Macaca mulatta: one gene and its partners. The protein of the gene in region 4 interacts with the protein of the main gene of each other region in a biochemical or structural test. Links are inferred from orthologs where the notes say so. Each region holds a gene or a part of one and is shown on either strand. Other genes may lie near its edges. The genes, in order: YOD1, CSNK1A1, VAMP2, SNCA, PLK2, NEDD4 and GBA1.

Region 1 (4,122 bases), on a different chromosome or scaffold from region 4:
GTAAACTTGCACACTAATTTTAATCTTAACAAGGAATTTCAGTGTCTTAGTGGTTTTAAGTCAAAAGGATGGTTCAAGCATTGTGTCCTTTGTTCTTTAGGGTTACGACAGCTTATTGGAAAACCCAGAGCCTTCTGGATCTGTGAGGTAGTAGACTTCAACCCTCATTCATGCATAGATCACACTTCTCCAAAGTTGGTATGGCCTGTCTCCTTGGCATGTTCCCTTGCTTCTGCTTGTCCAGTTAATCCTTTCTGACATACCATGCATCTCAGGGTGAAGCGGTTGACATCAGTAAACTGTCTCCTTCTTCTAGCTTCATCTGCTAATTCCAGTGCTTGTACAAGAACAATATCATCATTAGAGGAGAAAATGGTCAGAGGAGGTGTATCTGGATCAGGGAAGTTACGCTGAAGTGGATCATAGTGGATGCCATCATAAATAAGCAGAACCCTTTTAGTATATCCTGCATCTTCCCCAAAACGATCAATTCTTACTGTCTGTGTATCCACTACACATATTTCACATTGGTAAAACTTGGACAAAATCGATATCTCTATTGCTCCTCCCCAAGTGTCATCCCTTTTGATCCAGTCACAGTACTCTTGATTTGTTTTTCCCAGTATTGCCTCACTATAGAAGTCCGGATCGCTTGCTACAATTTGTGCTATGAGGCGTCTCATCTCAGGGGCACAAGCTGGATTCAAGACTCCTCCTTCGACGACATAGTACACACTGGTAAAGAGGCAAGAATTGTCTGCTGGGACCACGGTTCTGGTAAGCACAGGCAAAGTTTCCCTGACGTAACTAGAAGCACCACGTTTAGTAAATGCAGGTGAACTTTTGGGCCTGGTTTGGTCTTCTTCAACGATCAGCATGTCACCTGTTAAAAATAAAACAAATCCCGATCTGCAGAGAAATTATAGAAGAAACCGAGTGTTCACTAGCCAAGTCTGTAAATTACAAACTGAAGGAGTTAAAGCATAAACTGGGGTTATTAAAGAGAAGACAGCTTTGCAAATAAGTTACCAGTAACAATCTTTGTTCACTGAATTTTCATAAAGATGAAAAAAGAACAAAGAACAAAGACACTTCAGGTTGCATCCCAATTTAGTGAAGCGGTCTGGAGTAAACAACTTTAAGCTTACCTAAAAAGATACATTTCAAAAACAAAATTTCCTTTCCTTATACAGTATTTTACAGAAGGTGCTCACTACAGAGTAGGCCGCTAGGGGGGTCTCCTTCTCTGGGAACTTATCTACTCTGAGTGTTTACAGCGTCCTTGATACAGCAACTGAAAGCTTTTAATTATAAACACTGATGTTCAAGTTTTGATATGGCACAAAAATAACTGCTACTGGTTAGAAATTGAAAGGGCTTTCAGTGGGTGTTTAAAAGCTGACTCGAAAATGAGTATGCCTGTCAAACGAAGTATCTATGAAGGGGATTGCAAAAATGAACCAAGAAAAAAAAAATCCTGCATCCTTGAGATCTCATCGATGATACAGGGGAAAAGAGACATAAGGACAGAGAAAATAGGCCCTACTTCTTCATATTTTTGTGGACGCCGACGGAAAACAAAATGGGATAGTTTCAAAGCCGAGCAGAAAGCGGATTGGGGAAGGGGGACTTCAAGCCTTTGGGTTCCCTTTCAACCCTGTGTCAAGACAAGGAGTTGCTAGACACTTGCCCCGGCCCCCGTCAGAGTTCTCTGTTCTTTGATCTATCCTCGCCCCTGGCCTCAAAGTCCCCCGCCGACCCACAGCCACCTTGCCTTGACTAGTGTTCTGTTCTCTCTCACGCCCCTCTCCGTCCTCCCGGGACTTTCCCTGGCCCCTGCCCTGATTCCTTACCAGATTGGATGGGCAAGTCTTCCAGAATGGTATCCCCATTGCTGAGATCCAGGCACTCGGGAGGGTATCCGACGAGGATTCGCTGACCGCCGGGGGCGATCCCGGTGATGGCGGCAATTTGGCTCTGGAGTTCCCGCACCCGGGTCCGGCTGGACAGCCCCTGCAAAACATGGGTGCCGTCCTTGGCCTTGCAGCGGAGCCGCCACATCGTGTCGGTCCGGCTGCCCACAGGCCAGACACCCGCGGGACCAGCTTTGGTCCCGGCAGCCGGTTGAGCGATGCCGCCGGGGCAACCAGGCGCCGGGTGGACTCCAAAATGGCGACCTTTAGCGGGGCCAAACATCGCGAGAAGTTGCGGGTTGTTACAGTTCTCGCGACGCTTCGGCGCGGCTTCTGCCTTAAGCGCGAACTCTTTTAAAGTGGCAACTGATTTTTCCCCCACCCTCAGAACGAAGATGTAAACCTCCGTATTCCTAAAGGACAACGGGTCTTGCTACTTGTAGAGCGAGTGAGGTGCCCTCCGCGTCGGTAGCATATATGCTTAAGAAAAGAGGGCGGGGGAAGGAGTTCCTTAATGAAGCTCTGGAGCTTGGAATGTGACCTTGCACTTAGTGAGGTCGGAAATTATTAAATTGGGGCTTCCACGCTACACCCAGACTACATTAGGAGAAACAGAATCATAGTTCACAACGCAAACGAATGCCAGGAATGGTCACTGAGTCAAAGGACCAGTCAAAAACAATTATACTTGTGACTAGACTCGTGGCTGCATTAAACATTGACTCATTGAGGTTCCAGGGGCCAAAGGACTGGCCTTTCTGCCTCCCTGGGACTGCTTGAAAACGTCTATTTGCCACATCAGAAAGCACAGTATGAGGTCAGCATCTGGGCCCAGGGCAGCTGCCTCATTCAGGTGGTGGCAGTGTAAGGAGGAGTCATGTAGTGCGTGTCATCAGATTCCAGTTCAGTTCCTGGGCATGCAAATATGAAGACTTCATTCCTGCCTTCATTGTAACAAGTATTGATTGCAGTTGGGAGACAGGGTGGGGTGTGAGACACACAGCCACTGAATTTCAAAGCAACGTGATAATGCTAGATTATGTGTACCTTTTCAACCGTGTGTGCCTAGAACCCAGGACTGTGAATCGCAAATAAAAAATGTTCAACAAATACTTGCTGAAAGAATAAAGACAGAGTTGTATAGACATAGAGAGGGCAACTAGAGCACTCTGGGAGTTGTAAAAAGTCTCAAAGAGGAGATAACTGTTTGAACTTTTGGAAGAATGAGTTTAATTCCCAGGCGAAGGAGGAATAAAGACATCCCTGAATTTATATGTCTATTTTCCAAGAAATCTATACTCATTGTTCTTTATCCAGCCGGTATCCAGACAGCAAGTCCCACTTGTCTAGAGTGTGTTTATCAAGCATCAAACGGGCCCACTGGGGCAACTATGAAAAGTGTAGTTCACTTGGTCCAAACTCACCTCCACTGTAAAAGACTTTGCTTCTGAATAAATGATATGTAATGTTTCTATCTTTTCACATCTTTCATGACTCAATTTTTTTCTGCTGGTGCAATTTTCCTCCTTGGTTCTTCAAGACACTACAACAGATGATACAGCCTGAGTTGGGAGGTAGGTAGGAGGGAAGGTAGGAGCGGTTAGAAGTCCACTGGGGTGGCCGGGCGCGGTGGCTCACACCTGTAATCCCAGCACTTTGGGAGGCCGAGGCGGGTGAATCACCCGAGGTCAGAAGTTCGAGACCAGCCTCATCAATATGGAGAAATCCTGTCTCTACTAAAAATACAAAATAAGGGGGGCGTAGTGGCGCATGCCTGTAATCCTAGATACTCGGAGGCTGGAGAATCGCTTGAACCCGGGAGGCAAAGGTTGCGGTGAGCCAAGATCGTGCCATTTCTCTCCAGCCTGGGCAACAAGAGCAAAACTCCATCTCAAAAAAAGAAAAAAAAAATTCCACTGGGGTGTATGGGTGGGTCCAGGGAAGCTTCTGGTTCAACGATGAGAGTGGTTGAGTTTCTTAGGTTACAGCGTCTGACCTGTGGAACGGGGTATGTATACACCCTAAGGCATAATTAGCTCAAGTGTTGTGGTAGTTTATTCTAGCAAAAACATCTTTAAAGCTTACGTTCCCTTTTATGGATCTAATGAGGTTCTGTTGGGATTCAGTAATGAGAGCGTTAATCTTTGCAGCATTTTCTCATCACTCAAAGGGCACACCCCCTCTCAAGGCGCCTACTGAATAGTCCACT
Region 2 (3,946 bases), on a different chromosome or scaffold from region 4:
ACCTCAAGTCATCTGCCCGCCCCGGCCTCCCAAAGTGGTGGGATTACAGGCGTGAGCCACTGCGCCCGGCCCTCATTTCTATTTTAATTAAATTTTATTTAGGATAGGCTTAGCTTAAATGTTTACGACTGAGGTCTGACTTAAGATGATAGCATAAACCATGGAGCTTTCTTTTGTGAACATTACTATTACTCAACCCAATTTTCCCAGGTCAAATTTTGTAATACAAAATGTGGTCAAGATTTGATTCTCTGATCGATTTTTAGTAAAAAAGAAAAAAATTTCCGTGTAGCTTTAAATGTTGTCAATTAAATTTTGTAATAGTTACCTCTACTCTGTTCAGGTTAATACTGCGGTTTTCAACATGACCAACATACGATTCTTTGTTGTTGTTTTGGTGGGGTTGGGGGGCATAACAGTTTTTTCACTCTTGTTAAATTAATTTTCTGTTGATTCCATCTATCCCTAATCTTCACTATGAACAAGATACTGGGTTTTCTTCTGAAGATCAAAAGTGGTAGTGAGGCAATAATGCAAAGACGTAGGACGGCAGGGGGATTCCGGCTTCTTTCTTTTTTCCCCTCCTGTGGAAAGAGGGTCTATAACACTCCGTAGTAGAGAAGAAAATTCTAATTATGAAGGGTAATTAGCTAGGTTTTGCTATAACCGAGAGCCCTGAACGATTCCTCAACGCGGGCTGCTTTTCTCTTCCTCTCCACCAGAGGCGATAGCCTCTTTCCAAACAGAAACTGGGTTGGAATAGGCCGGTCCTGGGGAGCGGCCAGAAGAAAGATCAAAGGTTAAAAACCGCCTCAAAGAGCAAAGGTCAATACCCAACTCCTAAGGAGGCCTGACACGAAACATGAAGGTGACTCCTCCCAACATCGAGGCCTGGGGCCACTCAGCCTTCCAGAGACCCTGCGGGTCCGAGGCGAGTAACAGGTAACACCAGCTGAGCCGCCGCCGACCGGAAGTGGAAGAAAGCCCGGGGCGGGGTGAGGCAGGCCGCGGCACGCCTGCGCAGTCAGCAGGAGTTGCAGCGCTCATGCGCTACTGGGCGGTGACAGGGTGACGCTCGGAGCGTGGGCCGCGACTCTCACGGATCCGGTTCCGCCCTCTCGCTGCCGATCCTTCGGAGCGAGCGCCCCAGATCCCTTTCCCAGAGTGCTCTGCGCCGTGAAGAAGCGGCTCCCGGGGACTGGGGGCATTTTGTGTTGGCTGGAGCTGGAGTAACAAGATGGCGGCGTCGGCGGAGTGACAGGGGTCCCTCAGGGCCGGAGCCGGCGGCAGTGGTGGTAGCTGTATCGCCGCCCTAGCTCACCGCGCCCCTTTTCCAGCCCGCGACGTCGCCGCGCAAGCGAGGCAGCGGCGGCCGCCGAGAAACAAGTGGCCCAGCCTGGTAACCGCGAGAAGCCCTTCACAAACTGCGGCCTGGCAAAAAGAAACCTGACCGAGCGGCGGTGATCAGGTTCCGCTCGGCTGATTCTGGGCCCCGAACGCCGGTAAAGGCCTCCGTGTTCTGTTTCCTGCCGCCTTCCTCCGTAGCCTTGCCCAGTGTAGGAGCCCCAGAGGCCTCCGTCGTCTTCCCAGAGGTGTCGGGGCTTGGCCCCAGACTCCATCTTCGTCTCTCAGGATGGCGAGTAGCAGCGGCTCTAAGGCCGAATTCATTGTCGGAGGGAAATATAAACTGGTACGGAAGATCGGGTCTGGCTCCTTCGGGGACATCTATCTGGCGATCAACATCACCAACGGCGAGGTAATCACCTGGGGTGGGGTTCACGATAACGCTGCGCTTTTCCTCATTCCCCCCACCACCACCGCGCACCCCCAAAGTGCTCGGGCCTTTCCTCACCGCACGCACTCGCCAGGGAGTCCAGGGAGCTAGTTTTCCTGGCTTGCGATCCTCGCCCGCTCTCTCCCTAAAAGGGTCAAGAACCCGATAGAAAGGTTGGGGGAACTAGTTTCCCAGCTTGTTAAACACGTCCCATAAATGTCCCTTCGTCGAGCTGTTTTTTTTTTAACCGACTTTTAAGGTGGAAACGGCAAAATCCTCTTTCTGTGATTCCCATGCTTTGCTTTGCTTTTCTTTTATTTAATTTTTAATCCTACTGGGCCTCTTGTTCCAATTAGAACAGTTTCCGATTGCCTAGTTCCTTAAAAACCTCTCACTACGTTCAGAGGTTGCTTCTTTTTTCTGGATGAATCATTTTCCTGCACTTTAGAGGACGTACGATTTCGTCACTACCCCCTGAAGAGGCCTTTGAGGCTGGTTGCCTCGTTTTATAATTACAGAGAGCTTTCTCTTTCCAGCTTTTCACTTCTTCCTTGTAGTCGCGACTTGGAGTTTTGCTAATGTCTCTCTCCTTTCCTAAATGACACTGAATCCGTAGGGATGTTGATGCCATCATCCCCTCTTTCCCCTGCAGGAAGTGGCAGTGAAGCTAGAATCTCAGAAGGCCAGGCATCCCCAGTTGCTGTACGAGAGCAAGCTCTATAAGATTCTTCAAGGTGGGGTTGGCATCCCCCACATACGGTAAGAACCCCGTGCATGTAGGCGATCCGCTGAGGGAAGCACGGAATGGGGAAGTGGGTAGAGGCAGGTAATGAGACCAGCTGAATCCGGGTCTTGTTTTAGTTACCTGGGTTCCTTGTAGCTGGTGCCTTCCTGTAAGTCATCGCAATCACTGAGTAAATTTCAATTTGCCAACTTATTTCATTGTATTACACTGCTCCATTTCGCTTCCGTCATTCTCTTCCCGAGGCTTTCGTTTGCAGTTAGGCGTGCGGGTCATCTTTGATCCCTACGCGGAAGGGTTGGCTGCTGCCTTTTTTACGGCGGCACGTCTGATGTTCTTAGGTTTGTCCAGTGAAGTGGATTTGAAGGTGCTGAAGCGACCCGGCAGTGTCAGTTCGAGTTGCTATTGGAGCTGGCTTGGGAAATGGCTGCTCTTTTGTTGTGTTTTTGTTCCAACATGTCTTCCTCCTCCGCTTAGAAAATGGCGGAACGACGTGACTCAACCCCATATTCCTGCCCTTTTCTCAGCTTGGGTTCACAAATTATGCTTCCTTGATTCCTCCTTTAGCAGCCCCGAGTGGATTAAACCTTTGAAAAGCCAAGAATAAAGCTGCAGGAGGCGGTGTGGGGGTTCGAGGAAGGAGATGGCATAGTGACAATGTTTGTGATCTCTGCAGCAGATGTGACATGAAATTGTTGAATTATACTATGTAAAATCCTTTGTGGTTCTTTTAAAAGTGTTAATTACGCTTTCCTTTCGTGAATGGTCATATTTGGCACATTTCAGTCGGGACTAAATTTGTATAGGTAATGGCAAAGGCAGTTTGAGCAGCACCAACTATGTTAAAATTTACTCAAATCAATTGTATTAAAAGAAATCTTAATCACTTAGCCACACTTTGATAAGTAATTTTAACCTGTTGAGTTTGGCAGTAAATCTTAATATCAGAGAAATTGCGGCCTTTGTTGGTGTGGAATATTGGTGAGTGCAAATTGCAGTAACGAGGATAAAAGATGACGAGATAGAAAGACATTGTTCTGTCAAATGGTTAACTTTACTTTGGAGGGTTTTAGAGTAATGTTTTAACTTTTGGGATTAAAGAGCCTCTTCATGGAATGGAGACTAAAATATAGTTTAAAACCAAGCTATTTTTCAGCAACAATCTAAAATACCTTTTGCAAAAATATTCAGAATAGGTGAGAATGGTGTTTACTGTTTGCTGGAGACTCTTTTTTTTTTTTTTGAGACTGAGTTTTCGCTCTTGTCGATCAGGCTGGAGTGCAGTGAATGGCACGATCTTGGCTCACTGCAACCTCTGCCTCCTGGGTTCAAGCGATTCTAGTGCCTCAGCCTCCTGAGTAGCTGGGATTACAGGCGCCCGCCACCACACCCAGCTAATTTTTGTATTTTAGTTTCACCATGTTGGCCAG
Region 3 (4,109 bases), on a different chromosome or scaffold from region 4:
GTAGTAAGCACCCCCACCCCAGGTTCAAAGGGCCTCGCCTAAAATGCCTCCTGTACCCTTGAGGCTTGCTTTGATCCCCTGCACTCCACCAGAGCGACAGCTCCCCTGGTCCCATCTTCTCTGACAAGCTGGGTGGGAGTGTACACAGCCTCTGGGTGTGCTTAGAGGGCCTAATGGAGATAGGGATAATCTTCCATGTTATCCACATCAAGCCATTTAACGAATATGGATTTAGTATCTACATATGCAATGTATTTGGGGTCCAGAGAGAGGAGGGCAACTGTCCAAGGTCACACCTGCGAGGCGAATACGCATGTAAAGCAGCACCTTGTAAACTGTACCCACTGTGCCTACTACTAAAGAAAAAAAAATGAGAGAGAAAAAAGCCTTTTGGTCCCTGTGCCTGGGACCAAAGCCTGAGCCCTCTCCTGCAGTTGGGGTCGCTGACCCAAGCCTGGGGCAAAGCTAGGTCTTGGCCAGTCAGCAGCCACCACGTGAAGCAGCCCCTGCCCCCATCAGCCCCGGCTGCCTTGTGCCCTCCTCCTCGGGGTCTTCAGCTCACCCCACCTCAGTCGGGCCTGCTCCAGCTGTTAAGTACCCCTGGTCTGAACCTCAATCGTGAGGCGGGGCACCCCCCTCCTCACACCCTGTAGACACTCCCCGGTCCTCCACCCCCTGGACTTGTTTCGGCGGGAAGAGCCTGCCTCATCTTTTCTTCCCACCCTCCTACCCAGTGGCCTGGGATCGCAGGCTTCCTCTGAGACATCCACCAGCGGGGTGATGGGTTGAGACCAACCTCCTCCACTCCCCTCCACCCTAGCAGCAGGGTCCCCGCTCTCGATATTGCCCCAGCGCCTGTACTGACCCTCTCTGATTTCCCAACCCCAGCCCATTCCCAGTGCTGAAGGCGGGTCGCTAGGTGCTGGGACCTGGGCGCGGGGCGAGACCTTGGGCTGTGTGGGATGCAGGCTGGCTTATTGGGTTCACGATTCAGGGAGTGGTCTGGGGGTTAGGTGCGGGGCCAGGCTGCTGTGTGCCCTAAGGGGCAGGTGGCAAGAGGTTTGGGGGCGGCTGTGGAAGGCTGTGCTCAGACAGGGCGGGGTGACGGTGGGTTTAGGGAAGCCGCAGCAACCCGCCTGGTGGTCCCGTGAGTGCCCAGAGAGCTGCCGGGGCACGGTGGCGCCAGACCCGCAGTCCCGCCCGGCACGACCCCAGTCCCGCAGCGCCCCGCCCCCGCGGCCCCGCTCCCGACGCGTCGCCCGCGGCGCCCCGCCCCCGCCCGCAGTGCCCGGATGCGGGTGACGCGCGGCCGCCATCTTTCCGTCCCGGGCAGCCAGCGCCAGTCGGAGCCAGCGCGAGTCGCCGCCGCCATCACTGCTGCTGCCAAGTCCTCCACCCGCTGCCCCCGCCATGTGAGTCGGCCGCCCGCCACCCTCACCGCGCTTCCCTGCACCGGCCGCCGCCCTTGGCAACCGGCCGTGGGGAGTGCCCGGGGTCTCTCCCGCGTTCCCCGCGCCCCGGGGCCAGGCCCAAGCCGGTGACTGCGCGCGGGCGGCCGAGAAGCCCAGCGTCTCGGGCTGGCCGGCTCGAGCGATGGCCGCGGGAAGGAGCGGACCCTGTGTCCTCCTGCCGCGCCCCGCCCCTGTCACCGCGGCCGCCTGTCTTTTCGGGTCGACCCCGATCACATCTGTGAGGTCGCCCTCATTTGACAGGCGGGGAAACTGAGGCCGGGGGGAGGGGAGGCCTCGCTCAAGGTCACGCAGCTCATCGGTGGCGAGGCTGGACCTGGACCAGGGCTTCCATCGGGTGGCCTTCCTCCCGAAAAGGAGGACTGGAGGGACGAGGATGGACAGGTGGATGGGCGGAGCCCTGGCTGCAGGGCCGGGAGACTGCAGGCCCTGGGTCTTAATCCGTCCCTGCTCCTCAGGTCTGCTACCGCTGCCACGGCCCCCCCTGCCGCCCCGGCTGGGGAGGGTGGCCCCCCTGCACCCCCTCCAAACCTCACCAGTAACAGGAGACTGCAGCAGACCCAGGCCCAGGTGGATGAGGTGAGTGTGGGGGGAGTCAAAAGCAGTAGAAAGGACCCTGGGGGTTGGCGTTTAGGTGTAGGGGCCCATGTTGGTTTGGGAGTGATGACAGTTCACGCCTGTGGGTTTGCGGACAAAGATACTTTGCCCCATCCGTGTCTCCCTGTCAGCACGCACTTGGAAGGGTGCTGGGGGTGTTAATCAGCTTTGCTAGCCTGGGGTGTGCCAGCCTAGGCAGGTGTGCTCTGGTGATGGACAGAGCGCCTGAGGCGCCATAGAGGGAGGGTGTTGCTATGATATCTGAGATGTCACCAGCAATCCCCTGATGTGTGCTCCTTGCATGTCCCCAGGTGTGCTAGGCATGTACTGTGTGTGTCCTTGGCATGTTAACCTGGCAGCATCAGGGTGCATGTTCCATGTGTGGCACGGTGGGCACATGTTTGAGGATTGCCCTCATGAGGTGGGCCTTGGCACACCCCCTTGCCCCGTGGGCCCTTCTCCCAGGTGGTGGACATCATGAGGGTGAACGTGGACAAGGTCCTGGAGCGGGACCAGAAGCTGTCGGAGCTGGACGACCGTGCAGATGCACTCCAGGCAGGGGCCTCCCAGTTTGAAACAAGTGCAGCCAAGCTCAAGCGCAAATACTGGTGGAAAAACCTCAAGGTAAGGATGGGGACAGGAAGGAGGACTGGCAGGTGAATGGGGTATCATAGTTAGTCTCGCTGATCCTCTCCTCTCACCCCCAGATGATGATCATCTTGGGAGTGATTTGCGCCATCATCCTCATCATCATCATAGGTGAGTAGGCTGGGAATGGCCGGGGCCCTTTCCCTGGAGAGGTTTCCCCAGTGGATTCTGGGTTTTGAAGGTCATTAACCTAGTTTTTACTCTTCAGCCAAAAACACATATAGCTGCTAATGGCAATTCTGATTCACCTAGAGCCAAAAACTTTGATGTTATTTAGCCTGCATTTTGCCTGGTTCTTGGCAGTTTTGTTAACATTTAGAAATATAAAAGTTGGTGTATCCATTGAGGACCCTTTGGGCCTAAGAGCCCAATCTGAGAGCCCTGGAATTGAGGAGTGGGAGAAAGGAAAGGCCCAGGGGCTTGAGACATGACCAGGAAGCCAACCACCCCATTATTTGAGAGCTTGTGGCCTCAGGCTCAGAGGATTAGGGTATGTGGCCTCAAGGCCATACCATGGAACTGAAGGGACCTCATAACCTACCTGTCTAACCCCTTGCTTTGTAGATGGAGAAACTGAGTCCAAGAGAGGGGTAGGGGTGCCAGCCAGCTGGGGAGTGGGGAGGATTGGAGCAGGGCCAGGCCTGACACACTGCTTTCTTTCTTTCTCCCTCTCTCTCTCCCCTCTCCCTCTTCCTCATCTTCTTCCCCTCTCTCCACAGTTTACTTCAGCACTTAAATCCCTGAGGAGTCTGCCCTGCCTAAAGAAGGGCCTCTCCCCCCACCCTCAGCCGTTCCTCCACCTCTCAGCCATATCTTTCAGCCCCCCTTCCCTGGATCCGTGCGTGTGTGTGTCCGTGTGTGTGTCCCCCTGTAAATAGCCAGCTGTTATTTATACATATATAATATTATATATATTTGGTCTGTTTGTAGTTTTATTACTAGAAGATTTTTCTGGTTGTCCTTAACACCCCTTCCTGAGGTTCCCTTCACCTCCTCTCTCTTGCCTGCCTTCCCTTTCCCTTTCTTCCTGACTAGCCCCAAGTCCCTTCATTTGCATCTGCTATGCAATAGTCCCTCTCCTCTCCTTCTTCTTCCCTCAGATTTAGCTGATCCTTCCCCCCACCCTGGCCTTCCTTTCCTCCTCCCTCTCCCGGTCATGCTCCCTCTGCCCCGCCCTCAAAAAAGACCACAAAAAACAAAAAGCATCTGTCCAGGCTTCCTTAGGTGCATCTTGTTTGCATCCAATGGGAGGCTCTGAGACTGGCCCCACTTGGTCCTAAGAATCCCAAGGTCTTTGGGAGTGTCCAGCATGTTAAGTAGCGTATCATTACATACTGCCATCCCTTTCCATTTCTTTTTGTTCCATCACTCTTCTCTCAACTGGTGTTTCTTTTT
Region 4 (4,105 bases):
AACCCATCAGTCATGAACCAACACCAAAGTGACATTTGGGGTTTACCTACCTACATAGAGAACACCCTCTTTTGTCTTTCCTGCTGCTTCTGCCACACCCTGTTTGGTTTTCTCAGCAGCAGCCACAACTCCCTCCTTGGCCTTTGAAAGTCCTTTCATGAATACATCCATGGCTAATGAATTCCTTTACACCACACTGGAGAACATAAAATACACTTTGAATGAGAACTTTTGGGGGAAAATAAACAAAAAACACTGAAAAATCATGAGAAACCCTCCAAAGTGTGAGACTCTTTTAAGTGTACACTCATTTAACCATTGGACAAAGCAGACATTTTTAGCTCTGGCATTAAAAATTTAGCATCTCCCATCCATCTTGGCTAGTAAAAGTCTAGCCACCTAACCATGGATTAGGATGAATCCTCTGAGTTGTTAATACTGCATTTCAGAAGTGGAGTTGCATGAAAAGAGTCACTCCTGTTTTAACTTCCCGGGGTCTAAAGGGTAACAGTGTGAGTTAGAAGCATGGAAGCTGGAGGCTTAGGGTCTGGGGCATCCTTAACATGAATCCCAGAAGAAGGCTAACAGGTTGATGGTGGAGAGGCGTAGGCAAGAGAACTAACTACTCACTCTGGGTGTGGTTCAACCTCAGGCAAACAGCGAGCCCAAGGGTGCTGGTTCTAATACATCCGAGCATCCACCCCCGCCCTCAGATATCTACCCTGAGCAGGCGGCGCTCACACTCGCGGGCCGTCTCTAACCCTGCGCCAGCCACCCGAGGGGGCGTTCTCAGCATCCACCCTAGCGGACCCCGCGCCAGCACTTGTTAACCCTTTACCACCTGTTGACTTGGCCTCCCTGCACTTCCATTTCATTATTTGCCAAAGGCAGCTTGCTTACTTTACAGAGAAAAACCAAGAGAGCGGGCAGACGGATTTCAGGTAAGAGAGAAATAAAAGTTGGATGCTTACGCTCCAGGGAGCATCCTCGCGTTTCCCGGGGAAAAGCGGATCCCGGAGACGCATCCTAATCTCTCAGCCCTTGGGGAGAAGCCCTTGACAGGACGAAAGCCAGGTCAAGTCTCTTTCCTTAGGCTCCCCAAAGGGACAAGTACTCACCTCCCAGAGACCTGGCACAGCAGGTCCTCACCGCAGCACCACCCCCTCCTGGTGCCCACGACCATTCCTCTCCCACCCGGCTTTCTCCAGGATTTCCAAAGACGCCCGTTTAGATCCACAGGTACTTACCTGTGTCCCTCTGCTTCTCCACAACTCCGATTCCTCCCTACCTCTCTTTAAAAAAAAAAAAAATTAAACAATTCCCAAATAATATTTAATAGGGAAGAAGGAGGAAAAGGAGCGCACAGGAAGGGCGGAGGCGGCACCGGGAGGGGGACGGTCCCCAGAGGAGGCCGCTGTGAGCCGACGACGGGAGGCTGGGGGCGTGGGAGGCAAACCCGCTAACCTGTCGTCGAATGGCCACTCCCAGTTCTCCGCTCACGAGGATGGAGAAAAAGGCAGAAGGTTTGAAGGGAAGGCGTGAGGGAGCGCTCAGGACGCTCTCGGAGGGGCCGGGCCGGGGTCTGCGCTGCAGCCCGCACGCACCTCACTCCCGCGTCGCGGCGCTCGGTCGCTCGCCCCCTCTCTCGGGCCCCTTCTGGTCGTCGCCGTCCTCCTCCTCCTCGTCCTCCTCCTTCTCCTTCTCCTCGGCTCTCCGCCCCCACCGCTGATTTGTCAGCGCCTCTCCACGCTCCCCTCCCAGCGCTCGCTGCTTTCCCTGCAGCGTGCTCTTCGTTCCCTATCTCGGATGGGGATGGGGCAGGGGGCGCAGGGTGAACCACCAATTCCAGCCGCCTGCCTGGCCGCGCAAGGCGGGAAAGTGGGGGCGCTTTTGCGCCTCACCTCAAGTTCAGGGTCACGGGCACTCTTGTGGCGATTGGGAGCGGTTGGGCTTGGGCTGACGACTCTCCCTCTTTCCCATTCCCCTCCCTTCCTGTCCCCGCCTTTCCTCCGGGTCCTCCCTGGGACCACCCCCTACCCCTCGTCAGAGTCGACCTGGGAGAGCTGAGGGCCTGAGGGTCGACCACCCAGAGCAGAGCCTATCCTTTGGGGAGACAGGCAGCGCAGGGAGGTGGCTCACACCGCACCGCCGAGAGCACTTTGCCCTCGCATCGCTGACATTTAATCACGGTCACAGGCTACGTTAAGGGTCGCTTTAGTTCAAATATCCTCAAGATTTTCGTTTGCTCTTAATCCAGGTCGAGCTCGAAAGGGTCCCGCGGGTGAATCGGAGACTACTAAGGAAGAGTTACAGGTTGAGGAGGCAGGAGGAGGCTCAGCAAATCCTCTTCCCACCCCACTATCACCATTTTCCTTTCCACCAATCAGCGCCTGCCAGACGCTGATTTTCCCATCAGCGGAACGAGGAATAAATATTCCCCAGCCGTCTAAAACAAGCGGTCCTAAGGCTTTTCGCTCTAGAAATGGGACTTACTTTGCAGACCTAAGTGCATGGTCTGGTAGACAAATCCAGCGTGATTTACCCTACCAGACCATCATATCCAATTTCTTTTTCAGCCCCTTCTGAAAGGGAGATGCTACACGCCACTCACCTTTCTGACTTCTAATTCTCGTTGCCCTCAGAATTGACATCCCCTTTTCTCTCCCCCGACCCACCACATGCACAGACACACAGACGTACACACGCGAACCTCAAGACAATTTTTGCATCGCTTAACACATTTTCACCTCTTTCAGAACTGGAAGACAGCTATTCCTGGATCACACCAGAATGGAGAAGCAAGCTCCTCCCACTAGCAGAAAGCCTTTGCTTTCTGTGCCTGGATTCCGAAGATTAGTTAAGCACTGGTGGGGGCCGGCGGGGGGGGCGGGGACAACAGCTCGTTTTTGCTGTGTTTTTTAAAAATTGTTTTTATGTTTGTAGCTAATGCTTTGTCTGATTCTTGCACTCATTTGGATTCTGAAATTTGAGTAAAATCAAATGTAAACATACAAAACAACTTTAAAACCACAAGGAATAGTAAACAAATGATTATACATGAAAGACATATAGAAGATAATGCCTATGTGTTCAGTGGAAAATAGAAAAACATGAAAGTAAGATTACAAATTTTTATTACTTAAACTCTTCCTTGAACTATTGGTCTGCCCTTTGGAAAAACAGACTTTCCATAACGCAGTAGCTCATATTAATAGTTTGTGTTTGCTTAGGACCAGAGCAAGAAGGTTGGACTTGGGAGCTAGTTTGTTGTCTGGCTTGGAGACCTTGAACAAGTTATGTTCTCCTTCTGTTTCCAGTTTTATTTTTTGTAAATGAGGAGATGAACTCAGGTGATCGCCCTATATTCAACTTTTTGTTATGGGAAATATTCAAACATACGCAAAAGTAGAAAGAATAAAGGACTCCCATGTGAATATCACCCAACTTTTACATTTTTTCTATGCATGGCATATCATGTCTCATTCATAAGTCCACTCACTTTATCACTACCAATCCTCCCTATTTTTTTTCACAAAATTCAAGCTTTATATACATCTTTTCAACTGTAAACATTCAGTATGCATCCACAAAATTTAAGAACTGTTTAAAAATAACCACAATGTCATTAGACGATTCTTTTAAATTTCAGTGTAATTTACACCTAGTGAAATGCTCAGATGTTGTGTCCCTTTAAATCAGTTTTGAAAAAACCATGCATTGGTGTAACCCACACTATTTTGAAGACACAGGACATTTTCATCACTCCAGACAGTTACCTTGCACCCTTCATGTGCATATTCTAGAATGTCATAAAAGTCTAATCACGTAGTATAAACTTTTTTATATCTGTCTGACTTCTTTTACTCAGCATAGTATTTGTGAGGTGATTCATGTCATTGCATGAATCGGTGGTTTGTTTTTTATTGCTTTTTGTTGTTTCTTTTTATTATTGTTAATAGTGTAAGTTTTCCATTGTGTCTTATTACAACTAGTACTTCAATAGGCTATTACAACAATTATTTAATATATTATTTCATATGACATATTTATAGTATAACAGTGACCTCTTTGAGACCTGGTGCTTTGAGTCAAATAGGTAAATAAA
Region 5 (3,603 bases), on a different chromosome or scaffold from region 4:
ACATAAAATGACTTATTCACAAAGAATTTCTCACTACTGGAATTATGTGCTAGTACTGCCAGCGGCTCTGGAAGTGTTTAGGCAGGTTTATGCTGAGTAATATGTTTAGGTGGTGCATGCATTCTAATTCAGAGTTTTGCCCATATTAAGATAAACTTCCTGTTGCCTATTGACAACAACAGAGATCTGTTTACTCTGGCTTTATCTCCAAGCTAAACAAGTTTTAAAGAAATACTAGAGAGAAATTGGAGTATTTCTTTAATGTAGGAGGCTTATATTTTGGTTGTAACAAGAATGGTGTTCTCAAGCTAGATCTACCCTGAAAGTTTATGATTGTACTTCAGGTATTAGACTTTCTAGAAACTGTGGTTAGAAAAAATTAAAGATCTAACTTTCTAGTATGCTTCTATACTCAGTGGCTTCTTGGCACTGCTTGGCATGACATTATCAAAAAATGTCATGATGTGGTGAAGAGTTCTACTAAAGACAGGAAACTATTATTTCTGCTTTTTCATACTCTTTATTGCCAACAGTTTAAAATGGTCAACATAAAAAAAAAAGACATTTTGATAATAAATACTGCTCTTTGGGCTGTAATAAATAAAAAGTTTATTAACAAGGAATGCACTTTTCCAGCCACAAGTATCTTCAAAAATTAATGGAAAAAAAAATTATATATGGCCATAGTTCACAGTTACGCAGCCAAAAGCTGCTCCAATTACAGCCTTTAAACAACATGGGAGCTTCCTCCCTTCTCCCTCCCCTTCAGGAAGTATATTCACAGTTCCAAGTCCTCTGGCTGAAATGCTCTCAACAGAGAGAATTTAAGAATCAATGCACCTTTCTGCAAAATTGTCTGAAAAACCTTTTAAAACAGGTATCTCAACGAAAACTGCATTCTGGTTCACTCTTGGATTGTCCAAAGTCAAGAACTGTATGCCTTAGCCTGTTCTGGTTCCACCCAGTCCAGCAGGCCACAGGGGAATTGTTTTCGTACCACCACATGTCCATCTTCTTCAACATGCTCTAGATCATTCTACTGGCTTCCCTGTAGATCTCACAGTGGAAAAGAGGAGTCCCGTAGGGTCCATTCGAAGTCTTTTAGTTACATCTTTGTAAGAGCATGTTCAGGGCATATTCCATTCGATTTTTTAATTCTAATGAACAGCCAGACATCAGCAGAGTTGTCAGTCTGAAAGTCGTAGATATCCTATCTTCATTGATGTAAGTGAGAAGGTATTCTTCATTTTGGCTACAGATGATTATTTTTGTATGATCATGGTAGAAATTCACCTTAAAAAATAAACATAGATATTAGATCTCTCAAAATATTCAAGAATTAGAAAAATTCAGTCAATTACTAAACTGGCTAGGCACAGATTTTTCTGTGTAGGACCTAAACATGCGCTTTCCTGAAGAGTTCATTTACCTGAAAGGTGCCATCATTAAAGAGCATCATTAGGGCCTTATCAGATTTTAGCCACTGAAGGAGGTAGAGCCGAGGTCTTCGAATATCAGTAACACTAGGCAGATCTCCACCCTGGAAGAGATTAGGAGAGTGAGTTAGTGCCTACAAAGATTTTGTAGCATGCACTCTATTATTATTCTAAGAAAATCCTCTCAAACTTAAGCAAGCATCAGAGTGGCTTTGGAAATCCCTGCCTCCACCTCCCAGAGATTCTGATTCAGTACATCAAGGAGAGGACAGGAGAATCTGTTTCTAACAAGCTTCAAAGTGATGCAGATGCTACTGCTCTGTGGACTACACTTCAAATGTCACCACTCTAAAGTCACGGTACTTACATCCATGAGGTTCTCCTCCATGTAATGAGAAAAGTATTTCAGCACCGTCACTTGACTAATAAATTGCTCAGGAGCATCTGTTGCTGGGAAAACTGAGCATTGGCCAAGCTCTGCGTAATAGTGAACTGTTCTATAAAAACAGGAATGAAAGGGAGAGAAGAGGAAAAAAATAGAAGCAGTTAATCACTGTTTTTAGATTTCTTTAGTGCAAGACTAGAGAACTGACAGGATTTCATTAATTGATACACTTACTTTTTGTCTGGAAGGAGGCTCATGTGAGCACCATTGTTGAAAAGGACACCGACGGTGTGGTCTGAAAGCTGGTACCCGAAGCCGTATTTGTTAGAGTAATCAACCCATTTGGTGACCCACTGAAATGATGTGCTCAGCTGCTCTTTGGGAATGCAATCAGCTTCTGGCATGTTTTCCAGACATCCCCGAAGAACTCTTGCCACTGTGTCTGCAACACTTCCCATCGTACTGTCTTCAAGGCCTGAAAAGGCAGAGAGAAATGTTTCAAGTTATACAATATTTTAGCAATAAAACCTCAGGTTTGGTAGATGCTAAGTTTCACTCCATTAATTCAAAAGACATAGAACTCAAGATTATTTTCCAATTCCGGTAATCTTACTACTTCGATGTTAGATTAAGCTACAAAGTAAATTGACTTAAATTATTATGTATTTAGCAGTGGCATTTAGAGTTTTGTTATTTAAAATATGATTGACAACCACTTACATTCACTGCTGCTGCTGCAGCTGCCAAGCGTCCCTCTGACTATCATCCGAATAGCATCCCCAATCTGCTGCTTGTTTTCTACTGCGGGTGTTCCAGACCTGGCAACTGTGGTGGTAGGTGGCTGGAGCTCCTTAGGAGAGAGAAGATTTATGCAATGAGTCAAGCATCTAAATTCATTTAAGGTTGAGAATTCCAGATTAAGATGAGAGTGAGGCAATTGCTGGGAAAGCTTATCAAAAAGCAATGGACACAAGCCAGATAAAAGATAACGCAATAACGCGCTTGCATGCACTGTAAAACTGAAAGACTTCCTTTTAGTTTTAACTTCCCTTTCAAAGGGTTTGAAGAAAAACTTCAGTAAATATGACATTTTTGAACCATGATAATCATAGTCCAAGAGCTATTTAATAAAGAGTGGACGTAATGTAAAGTGTGAATATCTACTTTAATCTTTCCCAACACACCTCATCTGTCCTGTGTTTGCTGGGTTGCTGAGTTATTGAAGTCTTTTTCAAATCATGCCTAAGCTTGTAGATGTCTTCATCTTCTTTAGACACTCTATCTGTATATCAAGAAACAGAATTACAAACATTAGTCTATCTTAACAAGGTAGGAACAGGGTTAGCCATATCTTCTCCTTCTTGCATTACTGACCAACTTATGACCATCCTGGACAAAAATAGCATTTTACCTTTGCCATTAGCTGCAACTACCCCAAAAGCCCTCTTTAATGTTTGCAAAATACAAAGCTATCAATCACAATTCAAGGTATGGATTTATTATGCTATAAATATCAACATTTAAGAATATGCAAATATGGCCAAGTTATGCTAATATAAAATTCTCTTTTAACTAATTTAAATATAAATTTAAATATAATATTGGATACAAAAAGGAAAAGAAGTCTTGTTAACTTACTATGTGTGTCAATATATCTTGCTTTGTCTTTTTTGCCACCAAAGAGAGCAGCAGCTGCTTTCTTAAAGAAATTCTTAGCTGGGCTTGATAAGTGGAAATCTGGAACTGTGTGACAACAGCTGGAAGACAGTCTGTCCGGAGTGA
Region 6 (3,500 bases), on a different chromosome or scaffold from region 4:
TTAAAAGCTAAGAAAACTTAAAATATTAGTTTTACTAAAATAAATATGGAATGAGTCAAATGTTAAAGAAAGCACAAATTCTTGCTGAGAGACAGTTTTTGTTACTGGAAAATAAATGTAAAAACAGAGCCTAGGAATGTATTCAGTGTACGTATTAACATCGAAACATTTGTTTCACAATTTACGTGCCATTTTAACTGATCAAAATTAACAAACCTGTCCGAAAAGTTCTTCATCTATGATAAACCTGAGGTCCAATTCTGTTGGGTCATTTTCAAGAATCCATCTTAGGGAATTGTAATATTCACTATCCTAGATGGGAAAAATTACGTATTTAAAATTTGTACATATAACACACCTGAAATTGCAAAAAAACAATATGTAGAGGGGCTGAGTAGTTGGGTAAAAGATGAGAGGTCAGATGGACATCCTTTACTTACACACATAAACAAAAATGTATGTGTGTATGTGTGTGTATTACAAAAAGAGATGGATGGTAAGGGCAAGAGTAAAAATGCACCAGTCAATCAATCAATCAAGTGGTGCCTACTGAAAAGTTCAGAATCTATGTTTATGTGGAAGCAGTGGAGGTACAGATTGTATCATCCAGTTAAAGGAATGAATACAGAAGTTTTCAGATAAAACCTAACTTTTGGCTTTGGATATCCAGGAGCACTTAGCACATTCCTCATATGCCTACGTGACTATAATGTTTTATTTTTATTTTTTAATTTAATTTTTTTTTTTTTTTGAGACAGGGTCTTGCTCTGTCCCTCAGGTTGGAATGCAGTGGGGTGATTGTGGCTCACTGCAGCCTCGACCTCCTTGGCTCAAGTGATTGTCCTACTTCAGCCTCCTGAGTAGCCGCGACTACAGGCATGCACCACGACACCCGGCTAATTTTTGTATTTTTTGTAGAGACAGGCTATCACCATGTTGGCCAGGCTGGTCTCAAACTCTTGACCTCAAGTTCCACATGCCTCAGCCTCCCAAAGTGCTGGGATTACAGTTGCACACCCCTGTGTCCGGCACTGTGTGTGAAATGTTTAAGTAGCTATGAGGAGGCCATTGTTTATACCCAGCCCGAGTTAAAGAAAAATCTCTAAATAAATATAGAGGCTCAATGAACCAACTCAAATAACCGTGCAATCTTACGATTTATAAAGAAGCACACTGTTTGTGCTGTTAATATGTAATAAGAAAATAAAAAATGAACTTGGTACTAAGGAAGATGTCCTAGAATTCATGTGTACACACATCGTGTGAGGCTATTCAGCAGCACAGGAAACAACATGGCTACAGTCAGGGGTTTAATCCTTGGGCTTCTGTTTTTTTCTAGGAGCCTAACCATAATGCTTTGCCTTTCGACTGCCATTTAAAAAATATACACCATATGGTCGGGCGCAGTGGCTCAGGCCTGTAATCCCAGCACTTTGGGAGGCCAAGGCGGGTGGATCATGGGGTCAAAAGATGGAGACCATCCTGGCGAACACGAAACCCCATCTCTACTAAAAATACAAAAATTAGCTGGGCGAGGTGACGCGCACCCATAGTCCCAGCTACTCGGGAGGCTGAGGCAGAGAATTGCTTGAACCTGGGAAGCGGAGGTTGCAGTGAGCCGAGATCACGCCACTGCACTCCAGCTTGGCAACACAACGAGACTCTGTCTCAAAAAAAAAAAAAAAAAAAAAAAAAAAAATATATATATATATATATATATATATACACACACACACACACACATGCAATATTCATCATAAAAGATCGTAATGCAAATACTGATTCCAAAGACACATAACTTGTACAACCTATTGAAGTATTTAGTGGGATGTTTACTGTTATCTATAACTTACTCTGAAATGCATGAAGAAACTAAGATAGGCTGATGGATAGACAGACAAGTATGTGATACAGTAAATCTAGAAAAAACCAATTGTGAGTAGTGGATATACAAGTGTGCGGGGTAAAATACTTCCATCTTTATTAAACGTTAGAAAATTTTCATAATAAAATGTTGAGGAAAAAGTTAATTTGTATTTTGAAACATAATATATTAATTTCCATGTCATTAAAAGCAAATTCCTCAAAATGTTCAAGTTACTTATTAAATTATACTTTGTCTAAACTATAAGTGAAAAAGACATACCACAGATTCCATATCATGAAGGGTTATTGGTTTGTGAAGCATCATCTTGTAAAATGGGCGGATGAAAAAACCTTGCAAAAAACCAAATACATTTAGGATGATTACCAAGTGAAAGACAACAGGTAATTACATTGTAAAAGTTTATACTTAATACTAACCATCCAACAGTTTGCCATGATACACTGCCATTCCAGCTACCCGACCAATAAACTTGAAGTAAGATAGGTGATCTTCATTACACAATCCAGAGTTTGGATTTATCTGTAGGGTATAATTGTCCCTGTAAAGACAACCCCATTTAAATACTTCATTTGAAACACTTGAATATGACAAATAATTATAAATAATCTTCCTCTTTTAAGAGTTGTTTACTACTGTTAGAACCACATTCCTCCACTGAATTTAATGGTTTTAAAAATAGTAATTTCTGTCAAAAAGTGGAAATAACCCAAATGTCCTTGGCAGATGAATGCATAAACAAAGTTTTGTTTGTTTGTTTTCGAGATGGAGTCTTGCTCTGTTCCCCAGGCTGGAGTGCAACGACATGGTCTCAGCTCACTGCAACCTCCGCCTCCCAGGTTCAAGTGATTTCCCTGTCTCAGCCTCCCAAGTAGCTGGGATTAGAGGTGCCCACCACTACGCCTGGTTAATTTTTGTATTTTTAGTAGAGACAGGGTTTCACTATGTTGGCCAGGCTTGTCTTGAACTCCTGGCCTTGTGATCCACTTGGCTCGGCCTCCCAAAGTGCTAGGATTACAGGCGTGAGCCACCGCGCCTGGCCTAAACAAAGCATTCTATGCAAAAATAATGGAATATTATTCAGCCTTAAAAAGGAAGGACATTCTGATACATGCTACAACATGGATGAACCCTGAAGACATCATGCCAAGTGAAATGAGCTGGTCACAAAAAGACAAATATTGAATGATTCCACTTATGTGAGGTACCCAGAGGAGTCAAATTTACAGGGACAGAAAGCAGAATGGTGGCTGCCAGGGAATGGGGAGCAAGTGCTTACTGGGTACGGAGTTTCATTTTGGGAAGATGAAAAAGTTCTAGAGTTGGATGGTGGTGATGGCAGCACAACAATAGAGTGTATGTAATGACTCTAAATTGTATATTTAAAATGGTTAAAACAGTAATTTTTTTTTTTTTTGAGACGGAGTCTCGCACTGTCACCCAGGCTGGAGTGCAGTGATGCGATCTCGGCTCACTGCAAGCTCTGCCTCCCAGGTTCATGCCATTCTCCTGCCTCAGCCTCCCAAATAGCTGGGACTACAGGTGCCCACCACCACGCCCGGCTAATTTTTTTTGTAGTTGTAGTAGAGATGGGGTTTCACTGTGTTAGCCACGA
Region 7 (3,500 bases), on a different chromosome or scaffold from region 4:
CCTCCCAGGGCTGACTCTTCCTCCAGCTCCATCTTTACCCCTTCTGCCTCAGTGCTTCTCCTCCATCCCACCCTTCTCTCTCTGCTCCAGCCCTGCCTCCTTGGACGCCTTCGTCTTTAGCTACTTGGCCCTGCTGCTGCAGGCAAAGCTGCCCAGTGGGAAGCTGCAGGCCCACCTGCGGGGGCTGCACAACCTCTGTGCCTATTGTACCCACATCCTCAGTCTCTACTTCCCCTGGGATGGAGGTAAGGGGCAGATGGGAGGGGCAGCCCTGGGGAGAGTGGGCAGGGATCTGAGAACTAGTTCCCCTAACTCACCTTCCTTCCTTGACCCTCAGCTGAGGTACCACCGCCACGCCAGACACCAGCAGGCCCAGAGACTGAGGAGGAGCCATACCGGCGCCGGAACCAGATCTTATCTGTGCTGGCAGGACTGGCAGCCATGGTGGGCTACGCCTTGCTCAGCGGCATTGTCTCCATCCAGCGGGCAACGCCTGCTCGGGCCCCAGGCACCCGGGCCCTGGGCATGGCTGAGGAGGATGAAGAGGAATGATTTGTCCTCACGCTCCCAGGACTGGTTTTTCTACTCTCGTGCATTCCAGAGGCCCCCGTGCCTCCTCTTTGTTGGTACAGCCGGACACGGGGTGCTGCCCCCCAGAATAAAGCCACTCACGCTGACTGGGCTCAAACATTTTCTCCTTTAAGAGCTGCCATTTTTCCTGGCTAGTCCCACAGGAACCATCTGGCTGCCTGGGCACACCTGCTGCTGCTTTAAGGCTTCTGCCCTGATGCTGACACTGCTGCTCCATGGGCCCAGTTCTGCATCTCCAGGAAACACAGTCTCCAGTTTTGGGCCTAGCTTTCCTAGTCTCTTCTTTTCCTTACCCTCACCCCTCATCTTGTGTTTGTACGACAGTGAGCTCACTCTAGGCCTGGGCCCAGGCCCCGTTTCCAAAGCAAGCAGCACACAGTGCACGTTCACATAAGCATGGGGGCTGGGGGGACACTGGGGCTTACTGGTCTTTTTCTAGGGGCCTCTAGCCCCTGGCAATACCTAGAGGGGAAAGTGAATCACCCAAACCACTGCCCTTGGGCTTATGTCGCTGTAAGCGCACCCTGGCCCTGCTGTGCCCTCTTTAGCCACAGACAGCGTGTGAGCTGACTCTGTCCTTTTAATGCCCAGGCTGAGCTTGAGTATCCACTCCATCACTGCCGACGCCACAGGTAGGTGTGAATGGAGTAGCCAGGTGAGATCGTCTCCAGGAAGCCCACGGCAGGATCCTTGATGGTAAGAGGCACATCCTTAGAGGAGCTAGGGAGTGGGGAGGAGAAGCTAAGAGTGTGATCCTGCCAAGGCCCCCGACCCTGTCTTCAGCCCACTTCCCAGACCCCACTGTTGCCCTCACCGGTTTAGCACGACCACAACGGCAGAGCCATCGGGATGCATCAGTGCCACTGTGTCCAGGTCGTTCTTCTGACTGGCAACCAGCCCCACTCTCTGGGAGCCCTCAGGAATGAACTTGCTGAATGTGGGAACAGATGGTCAGAGTCCCTCGGGGTACCGCCCATGAAACTTTCATCTAAGAAGTCACCCACCCGCATACCCACCCCATAACTCCTGCAGAAGCTCTGCCCTGGGTCTCTAGACCTGGAGCCATGCTGCTGGGCACTGACCCTGCTTTTCTACATCGCAGTCCAGCCTCAGGCACTGGGGTTGTCTGTTGCTACCTAGTCACTTCCTGCCTCCATGGTGCAAAAGGGGATGGGTGTGCCTCTCCCGAGGTTCCACCCTAAACACCTTCCTGCTCCCTCATGGTGTAGAGTGATGTAAGCCATCTGATGTAGGAGATGATAAGCCTGATATGGAATGGGGGTGCCCGCCCTCCACTCACCTGAAGTGACCAAGGTGGTAGAACATGGGCTGTTTGTAAAACGTGTCCTTGGTGATGTCTACAATGACGGGACTGTCGACAAAATTACGCACCCAATTGGGTCCTCCTTCGGGGTTCAGGGCGAGGTTCCAGTCGGTCCAGCCAACCACATGGTACAGGAGGTTCTAGGGTAAGGACAAAGACAAAGAGACAAAGGCTCAACACTGGGGGTCCCCAGAGACTGTAGGTAAGGGTCACATGAGGGAGAAGTGGCTGTGGGTAGCTCAGCCCTGTGAGGGGCACATTACTTAGCTGCTAAGGAGTTGGGGGTGTGAAGATCGAGGCATCTCAAGGGGATCTGAGAAGCCTGAGGCAAGTGCAAGTGCGTCAGTATTTGCAAAAGGGGCTATGAGCCGGGCGTGGTGGCTCACGCCTGTAATCCTAGCACTTTGGGCGGCTGAGGTGGGCAGATCACAAGGTCAGGAGATCGAGACCATCCTGGCTAACACGGTGAAACTCCGTCTCTACTAAAAATACAAAAAAATTAGCCAGTCGTGGTGGTAGGCACCTGTAGTCCCAGCTACTTGGGAGGCTGAGGCAGGAGAATGACGTGAACCCAGGCGGCGGAGCTTGCAATGAGCCGAGATCGTGCCACTGCACTCCAGCCTGGGCGACAGAGCCAAACTTTGTCTCAAAAAAAAAAAAAAAAAGGGGCAATGAGGTGTGCAGACCTGTGAAGGAAAGGCAAGACAGGGAATCATGGTTCCCCAGTTGCCCAAAAGGGCAGGCTAGCTGGGCAAAGCTGGACAGGAAAGGTCTGTCAGTCTTTGGTGAGACTACTAAGGGGTCTGAGGTGTGCTTTGCAGGAAGGCAGACTGTGGTGGCTTACCGTGATGATGCTGTGGCTGTACTGCATCCCTCGATCCCAGGAGCCTAGCCGCACACTCTGCTCCCAGAACTTGGAGCCCACACAGGCCTCTGAGGCAAAGAGCATGGTGTTGGGGAACAGGCGGTGTGTCTCCCCTAGGGTGGCTTTGGCTGGAGCCAGAAAGTCCAGGTACCAATGTACAGCAATGCCATGAACATACTTAGCTGCCTCTGGGTCTGTCAGTACCTGCAAAGGAAGAGCAAGTGACCCTGGACCTTGCACACAGGCTTCTGGAACTTTCAATTCCTCTTGTAGGAATTCTGGCAATGGGTGATGGGAAGAATGCAACTAGAGAGGTTTGGGGAGATATTTTGTTTTGTTTTTGAGACAGGATATCACTCCGTCACTCAGGCTGGAGTACAGTGGCACAATCACAGCTCACTGCAGCCTTGACTTCCTAGGGTCAATTGATGCTCCCGCGTTAGCCTCCTGAGTAGCTGGGACTACATGGGTGCCACACCCAGCTAATCTCTGTGTGTGTGTGTGTGTATGTGTGTGTGTGTGTGTGTGTGTGTGTGTGTATATACATATATAGTTTTTGGTTTTTTTGTAGAGATGGGATTTCACTATGTTTCCCAGGCCGGTCTTGAATTTCTTAGGTTCAAGTGATCCACCCACCTTGGCCTCCCAAAGTGCTGAGATTACAGACATGAGCCAACGCCCCGAGCCTAGAGAGGTTTTTTTTTGTTTTTTTTTTTGAGA

What was found.
Region 1: the proteins of SNCA (region 4) and YOD1 form a complex in vitro, tested with the Homo sapiens proteins (2 studies listed by BioGRID, with this or other methods). The link is inferred for Macaca mulatta from reciprocal best matches to the Homo sapiens genes SNCA and YOD1.
Region 2: of the proteins of SNCA (region 4) and CSNK1A1, one has a biochemical effect on the other in vitro, tested with the Homo sapiens proteins (3 studies listed by BioGRID). The link is inferred for Macaca mulatta from reciprocal best matches to the Homo sapiens genes SNCA and CSNK1A1.
Region 3: the proteins of SNCA (region 4) and VAMP2 form a complex in vitro, tested with the Homo sapiens proteins (3 studies listed by BioGRID and IntAct). The link is inferred for Macaca mulatta from reciprocal best matches to the Homo sapiens genes SNCA and VAMP2.
Region 5: of the proteins of SNCA (region 4) and PLK2, one has a biochemical effect on the other in vitro, tested with the Homo sapiens proteins (2 studies listed by BioGRID). The link is inferred for Macaca mulatta from reciprocal best matches to the Homo sapiens genes SNCA and PLK2.
Region 6: of the proteins of SNCA (region 4) and NEDD4, one has a biochemical effect on the other in vitro, tested with the Homo sapiens proteins (3 studies listed by BioGRID). The link is inferred for Macaca mulatta from reciprocal best matches to the Homo sapiens genes SNCA and NEDD4.
Region 7: the proteins of SNCA (region 4) and GBA1 form a complex in vitro, tested with the Homo sapiens proteins (2 studies listed by BioGRID). The link is inferred for Macaca mulatta from reciprocal best matches to the Homo sapiens genes SNCA and GBA1.

The regions. Positions count from the first base shown.
Region 1 is NC_133406.1:64,800,761-64,804,882, forward strand, and holds the start of YOD1 (ubiquitin thioesterase OTU1), read right to left. Parts: upstream 2,801-4,122; 5' UTR 2,197-2,800; coding exon 1,854-2,196; intron 884-1,853; coding exon 180-883; 3' UTR 1-179. UniProt on the Homo sapiens protein: Hydrolase that can remove conjugated ubiquitin from proteins and participates in endoplasmic reticulum-associated degradation (ERAD) for misfolded lumenal proteins.
Region 2 is NC_133411.1:158,512,786-158,516,731, reverse strand, and holds the start of CSNK1A1 (casein kinase I), read left to right. Parts: upstream 1-1,146; 5' UTR 1,147-1,633; coding exon 1,634-1,756; intron 1,757-2,426; coding exon 2,427-2,533; intron 2,534-3,946.
Region 3 is NC_133421.1:9,677,680-9,681,788, reverse strand, and holds the start of VAMP2 (vesicle-associated membrane protein 2), read left to right. Parts: upstream 1-1,309; 5' UTR 1,310-1,410; coding exon 1,411-1,412; exon of another isoform or gene 1,413-1,845; coding exon of another isoform or gene 1,846-1,853; intron 1,854-1,927; coding exon 1,928-2,048; intron 2,049-2,531; coding exon 2,532-2,690; intron 2,691-2,773; coding exon 2,774-2,825; intron 2,826-3,433; coding exon 3,434-3,450; 3' UTR 3,451-4,109. UniProt on the Homo sapiens protein: Involved in the targeting and/or fusion of transport vesicles to their target membrane. Major SNARE protein of synaptic vesicles which mediates fusion of synaptic vesicles to release neurotransmitters.
Region 4 is NC_133410.1:99,154,553-99,158,657, forward strand, and holds the start of SNCA (alpha-synuclein), read right to left. Parts: upstream 2,801-4,105; 5' UTR 2,612-2,800; intron 1,968-2,611; exon of another isoform or gene 1,902-1,967; intron 1,669-1,901; exon of another isoform or gene 1,465-1,668; intron 1,293-1,464; exon of another isoform or gene 1,248-1,292; intron 765-1,247; exon of another isoform or gene 631-764; intron 197-630; 5' UTR 172-196; coding exon 51-171; intron 1-50. UniProt on the Homo sapiens protein: Neuronal protein that plays several roles in synaptic activity such as regulation of synaptic vesicle trafficking and subsequent neurotransmitter release.
Region 5 is NC_133411.1:66,282,121-66,285,723, forward strand, and holds the end of PLK2 (serine/threonine-protein kinase PLK2), read right to left. Parts: coding exon 3,460-3,603; intron 3,104-3,459; coding exon 3,006-3,103; intron 2,672-3,005; coding exon 2,542-2,671; intron 2,297-2,541; coding exon 2,056-2,296; intron 1,934-2,055; coding exon 1,804-1,933; intron 1,541-1,803; coding exon 1,430-1,540; intron 1,294-1,429; coding exon 1,102-1,293; 3' UTR 501-1,101; downstream 1-500.
Region 6 is NC_133412.1:33,147,773-33,151,272, forward strand, and holds part of NEDD4 (E3 ubiquitin-protein ligase NEDD4), read right to left. Parts: intron 2,427-3,500; coding exon 2,305-2,426; intron 2,218-2,304; coding exon 2,147-2,217; intron 313-2,146; coding exon 217-312; intron 1-216. UniProt on the Homo sapiens protein: E3 ubiquitin-protein ligase which accepts ubiquitin from an E2 ubiquitin-conjugating enzyme in the form of a thioester and then directly transfers the ubiquitin to targeted substrates. Specifically ubiquitinates 'Lys-63' in target proteins.
Region 7 is NC_133406.1:111,758,248-111,761,747, reverse strand, and holds part of GBA1 (lysosomal acid glucosylceramidase), read right to left. Parts: intron 2,985-3,500; coding exon 2,760-2,984; intron 2,056-2,759; coding exon 1,892-2,055; intron 1,523-1,891; coding exon 1,406-1,522; intron 1,312-1,405; coding exon 1,206-1,311; 3' UTR 553-1,205; coding exon of another isoform or gene 338-552; 3' UTR 246-337; coding exon of another isoform or gene 84-245; 3' UTR 1-83. Other genes in the region: metaxin-1, read left to right, coding at 84-245, 338-552. UniProt on the Homo sapiens protein: Glucosylceramidase that catalyzes, within the lysosomal compartment, the hydrolysis of glucosylceramides/GlcCers (such as beta-D-glucosyl-(1<->1')-N-acylsphing-4-enine) into free ceramides (such as N-acylsphing-4-enine) and glucose.